2 linked regions of the Daphnia pulex genome follow. The protein of the gene in region 1 purifies or fractionates together with the protein of each later gene. This does not show direct contact. Links are inferred from orthologs where the notes say so. Each region holds a gene or a part of one and is shown on either strand. Other genes may lie near its edges.

Evidence for each region.
Region 2: the proteins of DDB1- and CUL4-associated factor 1-like (region 1) and COP9 signalosome complex subunit 5-like purify together in Homo sapiens (affinity purification with mass spectrometry; 8 studies listed by BioGRID and IntAct, with this or other methods). This does not show direct contact. The link is inferred for Daphnia pulex from reciprocal best matches to the Homo sapiens genes DCAF1 and COPS5.

The regions. Positions count from the first base shown.
Region 1 is NC_060022.1:4,447,153-4,451,432, reverse strand, and holds the start of DDB1- and CUL4-associated factor 1-like, read right to left. Parts: upstream 2,888-4,280; 5' UTR 2,759-2,887; intron 2,582-2,758; 5' UTR 2,573-2,581; coding exon 2,460-2,572; intron 2,395-2,459; coding exon 2,247-2,394; intron 2,172-2,246; coding exon 1,493-2,171; intron 1,420-1,492; coding exon 491-1,419; intron 429-490; coding exon 180-428; intron 118-179; coding exon 1-117. Other genes in the region: mRNA export factor GLE1-like, read left to right, coding at 3,290-3,497, 3,588-3,751, 3,815-4,030, 4,091-4,280. UniProt on the Homo sapiens protein: Acts both as a substrate recognition component of E3 ubiquitin-protein ligase complexes and as an atypical serine/threonine-protein kinase, playing key roles in various processes such as cell cycle, telomerase regulation and histone modification.
Region 2 is NC_060026.1:5,023,406-5,027,093, reverse strand, and holds COP9 signalosome complex subunit 5-like, read left to right. Parts: upstream 1-1,519; 5' UTR 1,520-1,587; coding exon 1,588-1,727; intron 1,728-1,787; coding exon 1,788-2,022; intron 2,023-2,080; coding exon 2,081-2,275; intron 2,276-2,335; coding exon 2,336-2,533; intron 2,534-2,597; coding exon 2,598-2,855; 3' UTR 2,856-2,915; downstream 2,916-3,688. Other genes in the region: transmembrane protein 65-like, read right to left, coding at 3,251-3,565. UniProt on the Homo sapiens protein: Probable protease subunit of the COP9 signalosome complex (CSN), a complex involved in various cellular and developmental processes.

The sequences.
Region 1 (4,280 bases):
GTCAGCATCCGTAATGGGTGTTTTAACAGATAGAAGGTCCATTAACACCATGATTCCATTGTGGGATCGTACACACTCCCAAACTTGGTTGAGAACCTCTTCGCTCGTTCGACTAGCCTATACAAAGCACAATGCGTAAATACATAAATTCTACAATAAGAAAATATCATTGAAATTACCACGCTGCGTCTTTTGGCACTGCCATTAAATCTACCGACAGAACCTCCAACTCGATGGACGGGAGCACAAACGCAGTGAATGAGTACGCAAAGAGCGGCACGCTGAACTTCGGGGTCAGCTACAATGTCTCCTTCAGCTGCTCCAAGTAGAATATTAATGCCTACAGCATTGGCGTCATCCGGAATTTGAATACGATCACAAAATAGCATCTGAACTCTGAAAGAAACAGAACAAACGGCTAAAACATCCTGCAAAATAAAATAAAATATATTTAATAATTTAACTTTAAGAATATATTTAATTTCTTTACCAAAGCGCTGCGAACAGTCTCGGCACGTCCGGTAAAATTCCATAGGTAGGATATTGCAATAACTTGTAGAAGCAGAGGGATACCCCCGAGGCTAACAAATTCATTGACGGGTGACCAACTTGCCCGAAACGGAAGCAGTTCTTGAGCAGTGGTGATTAGATCGATAATTTGATCTGCATTAAGCTTGATTGCTTTGTAGGGAGGTGTTGACGGATGGGGAGAACCACCCATTTCACGAACTCTGATCCGTTGAAGATGTTCAACTTTCCCAGCCAGATGAATTTCAAAGTATCGTTTTAGCGCCGCACAGACGTGTCGAACGGTTTGGCGTGCAGCATGAGATTCGTCATCATCCAACAAATCACTTGCATCTTCCATTGAAAGTATTGACAAAGTGCTGATCATATTGTACAACCGGCGAAGACCATCCTGGGCGTCAAACTGTTCCAAAATAATGCGGAACTGAAACGATGTCCCAAAGAACATGGTAGCGTGACAACGTCCAGATTCGTGCGAACACTCCAGTAGCCAAAGAGCATATCGGACTAGCTCTTGAATGACGTGATCTGGTAAGAGACAGACTCGCTCCATGGCATCTTCGCAATACGCAATGTAATAAAGACACATGGCAACTCCAGTTGCAGCAATGCTCGGCCGTGGAATTTCAAGTAAGCGATGCAATCCCTGATGATGAATAAACTCGATGGCAAATTTTTTGTGACAAAGCAGTGCTCCGAGATATTTAAGTGCTTCGAACGATAAACGCGAATCTTGGGTCTCGTCAAAGTCGATGTAGTTAAGAATAAGGTCGAGCGCCTTTTGCTCGAACATGTGAACTAGTAACTCTTGATATTCACCCATGGGTGTTAAATATCGCAAGATTAAGATTTGCCGAGTTGAGTCCGTCAATGGATGCATTTGATACGTTCCTATAAATAAAGTAAGAAGTGTTAGTTTTTTAACTTTACAGACACACTTGTTGCATGGAGAATAATCTTTTACCGATGACGTATGATTCCATTTCGGCCCAAGACGAGTTGCTAGAATCATTCATAGCTGATCCATTCAGAGATGCATTTCCACTTTTTCTCTCTTTGGAACCTTTAATCCTGCCTTGAAATTTCTTTGCTTTGTTATTCTTTGGCAATTTTCCTTTATCGGAGGCTCCATCGGCCGGTTCTGGTCCAGGCATTAATTCAGCATCTTCATCCTTTGGGACCTTTGAACTGGAAGATGCTCGACTCTTACTACTCGCCGTATTCTTTGGGGTTTTGCTCGAGGTACTCGGTTGGTCGCTTGAAAATTTTGAAAATCTTTTGATTTTTCCGAGTTCGTCATTTTTCTTTTCTTCGGCACATCTCTTTTGGATTTCCCATAACCTTTTCAACATTAACGGTGCTAGATGAGCGTTTAACTCACGAAAGTTAGCAGCCAAGTCTTGTAGTTCCATCGCAGCAGCTAGCAAACCAGTAGCGTAGCTTTGAAGTGGTTCTGGACCTTTTTCTGCCCAACTAAAAAGTCTGTTGATCAATCCTTCTGTGTCTTGAAACACCACAGATACTTCTAAGCCTGGCATTAAATCTAGAACAAGACGAGCTGCAGCTGTATTGAGTTCCCTTGAATCTCTGGTAGAAATGCCTAATCTGGTCCAGTAAGTGTCACGTAAATAGTCTCCAACTAACTAATATTAAGAAAAATGAAAAAATAGCATTTATATTTAGAATGAAGATCAAGGCCAAGTAAATGAAAATAATACTTTTTGCATAAAAATTTCCTTCTTGAATATTATTTTAAGCATGTGTCCAAAGCTGCAATTTGGATTCCTAGAAGGGTTACGATCATCAAAAGGATCTGGATCCATTTTTAGGTAATTTTCTGTTTCTGTTTCCAAAAGTTCAGCCAGTCTTGAAAACAAAAATTAACATGATTAAGAAAAAAAAAATCTTGCAAAAAAACAAATAACACATACCTAGAAAGATAGGGAACAGGATCAAATGTTGGTGCTACATGATGTTCCTCAAATAACCTCAAAATAGCACTGACATCTGACATTTCAGTCAGATTTACGGTGTCGTTCGCCATACTGGATGACTTAAATGTAAATAAGAACAAATTAGCTGAAACTTATCGACGCCAAAATGAAACACAAAAGGACGTTTTTGGAACCCAATCACAATTTCACAACACGAGTAGAATAACTTCAATGGGTCACAAATCTTCACCATAAGTTAAAAAAAAACTATTGCATTATAAACAACAAAAACTCACCTTCGAACTGTTACGTCTATCTGAAACTACAACTTCCCTTATTAAAATTAAGTTTCTTTGAAATTGCTGCAGAAGTGTGCACCACGTTCTGTGTAATTTCTATGTGCAGACTTGAGAAAAAAACGTTGTCAGATTAATATTTTGGAAAATTCTTGCGAATTCCATTGTTTGCTTGTTTGAGGAAGTTAGACCTCCAGAATACAGATTTAAATGATAAAATTATAGCTAAAATATTTTTAAAATTTCTAGCAAATTTTCATATTACAAATTGAATGATATTTCTCACAATTGGATTTTTCAATAAACTTGACAACAATAGCTTTTCTTATGGTTACCTAGCGTGCTTAAAAAACTGTGTCTGCTTTTGTCGTCCTTTTTGTGAATCTTTGTGGACGTTTTTTTTTTACGATTGTTATGTGACATTTTCTTCAAATATTTTGTGGTTTGAACTTTGAAAGTTACTCACATTCTTGTCGTAAGTGTTGACACGTGTCGGATCAAAACGTCGGGCATAAGAGGAATAAAGTAAAAATGGCTGATGTTTTGGATATCTTGGAGCTAGGGAGACCGGGAACTCCAGAAGTGACGAAAGAAAGTATTATGGGAACGCAAAAACCGAAACCTAAATACAAACCTAAAAATGAAGTTTTACGTAAACCTGAGGGAATGGCACGAGAACTTTTCAATCTTTTGGTCAATGATAGTAAAGATGCAGCTCCTCTATTTCCAACTGACACAGGTAACAACTTTGTCTGTCTGCAATTTGTGTGCTTCCAGTAAGGGAAAGAAATATTTGTATGCCAAAGATTTCATAAATATTTCCAATCAGGTAAAGGATACAAGCAAGCAAAAGCTCATTTAGGTGTCCGTAAAGTGAGACCTTGGAAGTGGATGCCCTTTACTAACCCAGCACGGAAAGATGGAGCTGTATTTCACCATTGGCGTAGAGCTGCAGATGAAGGGAAAGAGTATCCATTTGCTAAATTTAACAAGGTTGATTTCCATCTTTTTTAATTGATTTGAAAATTTCTTTTATATAAAAATATTTTTTTTTAGCAAGTCCATATATTTTCTTACACTGATCAAGAATATCAATTACTACAACTTGATAATTGGACAAAGCAAGAAACAGATCATTTGTTTGACCTCTGTCGGCAATTTGATCTTCGTTTCACCGTTATTCAGGACCGCTGGGATAGTACACGATTCTCAAAAAGGTCAATCGAAGACTTGAAGGAGAGATATTATGATATCTGCAACATATTAAACAAGGTAAAGGATATTTGTGTCTGTGTTACCTAGTAAAAAAATAACTGTATATTTTTTTTTAAGGCAAGGCATACAACAGGACCAGAGCCAAAGAATATTGCTTACGATGCCGACAATGAAAAACGTCGTAAAGAGCAGTTAAAGAGGCTATTCGAACGTACGTCAGAACAAGTCGAGGAAGAAGCTAATCTACTCCAAGAATTGAGGAAAATCGAAGCCCGCAAGAAAGATCGAGAACGAAAAACACAAGATC
Region 2 (3,688 bases), on another chromosome or scaffold:
CACATCATTTAAACCGTTAAATGAGCTGACATTTTGCCACTCTAGAATTTCTTCCGTTTTTCTTGACTTGCCATTACAGTACTGGGGATTTTTCAGAGAACGATCAATAGGGGTACCAGATTTTGCGGCAAGGAGCATGTTTCTTTGAAAACTCGTGATGCCACTGATCGCTATGTGCAAAGCCATCGTATCAAAAAATCGAACTTTGGTGCCATCGATGAAATACTGCTCTTTTATTCGCGAACGGTCATAACTTACATTATGTCCTATAACGATACGCTCTTTTTGATCTTTGAGAGGGAGACGGTCTTGTTCCGTTTTTGATTCCAAGTTGATCAAGTCCTTTAATTCATAAATACTTTCCATATCCTTCAAAATTGAACTTTGCACCTGTCAAGTAGGATAATAAAGCATTGATATAGGGTGAAAAAAGTATTAAGAAAAATAAAAATAAACCTTATTTTCAGTAAACAGCTGATTACTACACCATGAGTACCAGTAGTTTTTTGAAACTGCAGTTGCAAGGGTTGGCAAATGGCCCTCTTTCACACAGACTTCCACATCAAAGACATATGCATCCTCTTCTGGAAAATGAACTAGATCCATCTCTCCATTTTGGTTGTATCTTGTCCATCCAGGTGCAAAGTTCCAGACTTGAGGGATGTCTGGAATGCAATGTGATGTCAAATCTAACAATTTATTACGGTAACTTCCACATTGTTTTTCAGCAATTTTTTCAAAGTGTTCTGCTATGTTTTTTCCTAATAAAGTTGGGAGCTTCAAATCAATATCTGGGAGTTTACTTGGTGATTTGCCATAAAGATGGTGAATTGATAAATGCTGCTGAATTTTTAACAGCGTTTCTTTAGATACAGAATTGTTGTTTTCTTTTTCGAATATCTGTCGATGGATAGATCTTGATAACATTTGTATACCACACGGATTAATAGTAACACATTTGTTTGAAATAGATACTTCTTCTTTGCATTGGCTTTTTGTTGAAAAATGTATTCTATAATTATGAAGAATATTTAAACTAGATAATGAATATTTCCAAGGTATTTTCCTACGGTTATGTTTAATTTGCCACACTCGAAACGAAAGCATGTTTGGAAACAAGTTTGAATTTGTTTATCGGGCATCGGCAACTCCACGGTAAGAAATAGTAAAACGTGGGAAAAAGAGTAGATAGGGATTTAGTGGTGAGGCAATGGACAATGGACTAATGGAGTAGGAGAAGTCAGAAGTACTGAAGTAGCAGTCGTAGCAGACTAGGCAATCGCAGTCGTCCAATCCATCCCTGAGGCTGAAATCCTACGTTTTACTTTGTTCCTACCACCGCCGCGACCCGCATTTTACCTCTTCATTCTCCCAGCAGCTCCCAGTATGCCAAAGGCAAAACAAGACCCGTAGGTCGTAGTCTCGTAGACGACATCAACAGTCGATGAGATTTAGTTTCCGGCTGTACGTTTGGATTTGATATATTCAGCACTGGTATACCTCGTTCGAATTTCCCCATTTGGACTTTAGAGTGTCTTTTGCAAAAAGAGGTTTCAAGTAAAATTGGTTGTGTGTTCCACATCCAAGATGAGTTCACAATCTAACATAGCCCTGAATAATTGGCTCATGGCTAATAATGTGGAAAATATTAGTTCAGTTGACGAAATTTATCGATATGATAGAAAGCAACAGCAAGACATGTTGGCTGCTAAACCATGGGATAAAGAGTAATATTATTTTTTATTTTGTATCAAGTCATGTTAACAACTTTACGTTTTATGTTCTAGCCCTCATTTCTTCAAAGAGATCCGTATATCAGCCTTGGCATTGTTGAAAATGGTTACTCATGCTCGGTCTGGAGGACATCTAGAAGTGATGGGATTGCTTTTGGGCAAAGTAGATGCAAACACAATGGTGGTAATGGATGCATTTGCCCTGCCAGTTGAAGGCACAGAAACCAGAGTAAATGCTCAGTCACAGGCTTATGAATACATGACTGCTTACATAGAATCAGCTAAACAGGCAAGTACATTTGCTCTTGATCACATTTTTAAGTAACTAATTGGAATATGAGTATTAGGTTAATCGTCTTGAAAATGCCATTGGATGGTACCATTCACACCCTGGATATGGATGCTGGCTATCAGGAATTGATGTTTCTACCCAGATGCTTAACCAAAATTTCCAGGAACCCTTTGTTGCTATTGTTGTAGATCCTGTTCGTACTATTTCAGCTGGCAAGGTGTGTCTTGGTGCCTTCCGTACATACCCTAAGGTGAACAGATATATTTTTCTATCAAGCGTACAGAGTAGTTTACTTTTTATTTTTCCTTAGGGTTACAAACCCCCAAATGAAGAGCCAAGTGAGTATCAAACCATCCCACTCAATAAGGTTGAAGATTTTGGTGTCCACTGCAAGCAGTACTATGCCCTTGAGGTTTCTTACTTTAAATCAGCTCTGGATCGCCGTCTATTAGACTCATTATGGAATAAGTACTGGGTCAGCACATTGAGTTCTTCATCTCTCACCACAGTAAGAACAAATATTCAAAGCGTTATATCATGTTATAAAAAGTATTAATATCTCTTTTTATTAGAATGCTGATTATACAACAGGTCAAGTATCGGACCTTTCGGAAAAACTTGAGCAAGCTGAAAACTCTCTAGGACGGGCGGCTCTAGTCGGAAGCGGCGTTGGTGTGAGTGGCTCCAGCATTGAGGATAGAAGATCGGAAGATAGGCTAGCTAAAGCAGCTCGTGATGCTACAAAAACTTCCATTGAAGCTCTTCATGGTTTGCTGGCTCAAGTAATTAAAGATCGTCTGTTCAACCAAGTGCGTTCAAGGCCTGCGTGAACCATCTCGTTTTTCTAAATATCCTCTGAGAATCCTTAATAATAAACTGGCTTATGCATACCATTTTGTTTGTGTTTTCTGTGAATGAGTTACCAAGTGTTAGAATATATTGTATTGAACATGTAAAATTCTTTGGCTATATCTCTAATAATGGGGTCAAGATTGAACAGCAATTGTGGGCAATATAAATAATTGTTATGTGAAGAATCTCCACGTTAGTTCATCGGAATGCTCAAAAATGTGCAAAACAATAAGAATCGAACATTAAAGTTGCCAAGTCGCAGTAGGATCCATTGCCATTGCGCGGCAAAATGTCATTTTTATGAGTTTAAATAATTATTTTAGGTTCACGTATTTGTAAGGTTATAAGACTAATAATATATCGGACATGCCAATCACAAATGAGATGAAGGGTCCTTTGAATGCCGTTTGCTGTCAGATGTAGGTAAAAATAAAAGTGGTACCATTCCAAGCACACATCCTATAGCAACACCAATAGCACGTCCGATATTAATGGCCCAAGTAGTTGATCGAAAAGCATATTGCCGAGGCTCGAGATCGGGTTGAGGAATTCCTAGTTTTTGAGAAAAAGACTCGACGAACTGAGCAGATCCTACTCCAGCAACATCAGATATTGCATTTCCTATTCCAGCTGCTGCCATAGTAGAAATACCAAACATACTTCCAATTGTTAAATCTATGTAGTCACCCTGATAAAGTGAAATATAATATTATGTTAAAAATGTTTGAAGCACATTCAATAACGGAAATAGAGGCCGTCCATAATGAAACCACGCCTACAGGAGTGCGGCAAGTAAGAGAAATTTTTATGA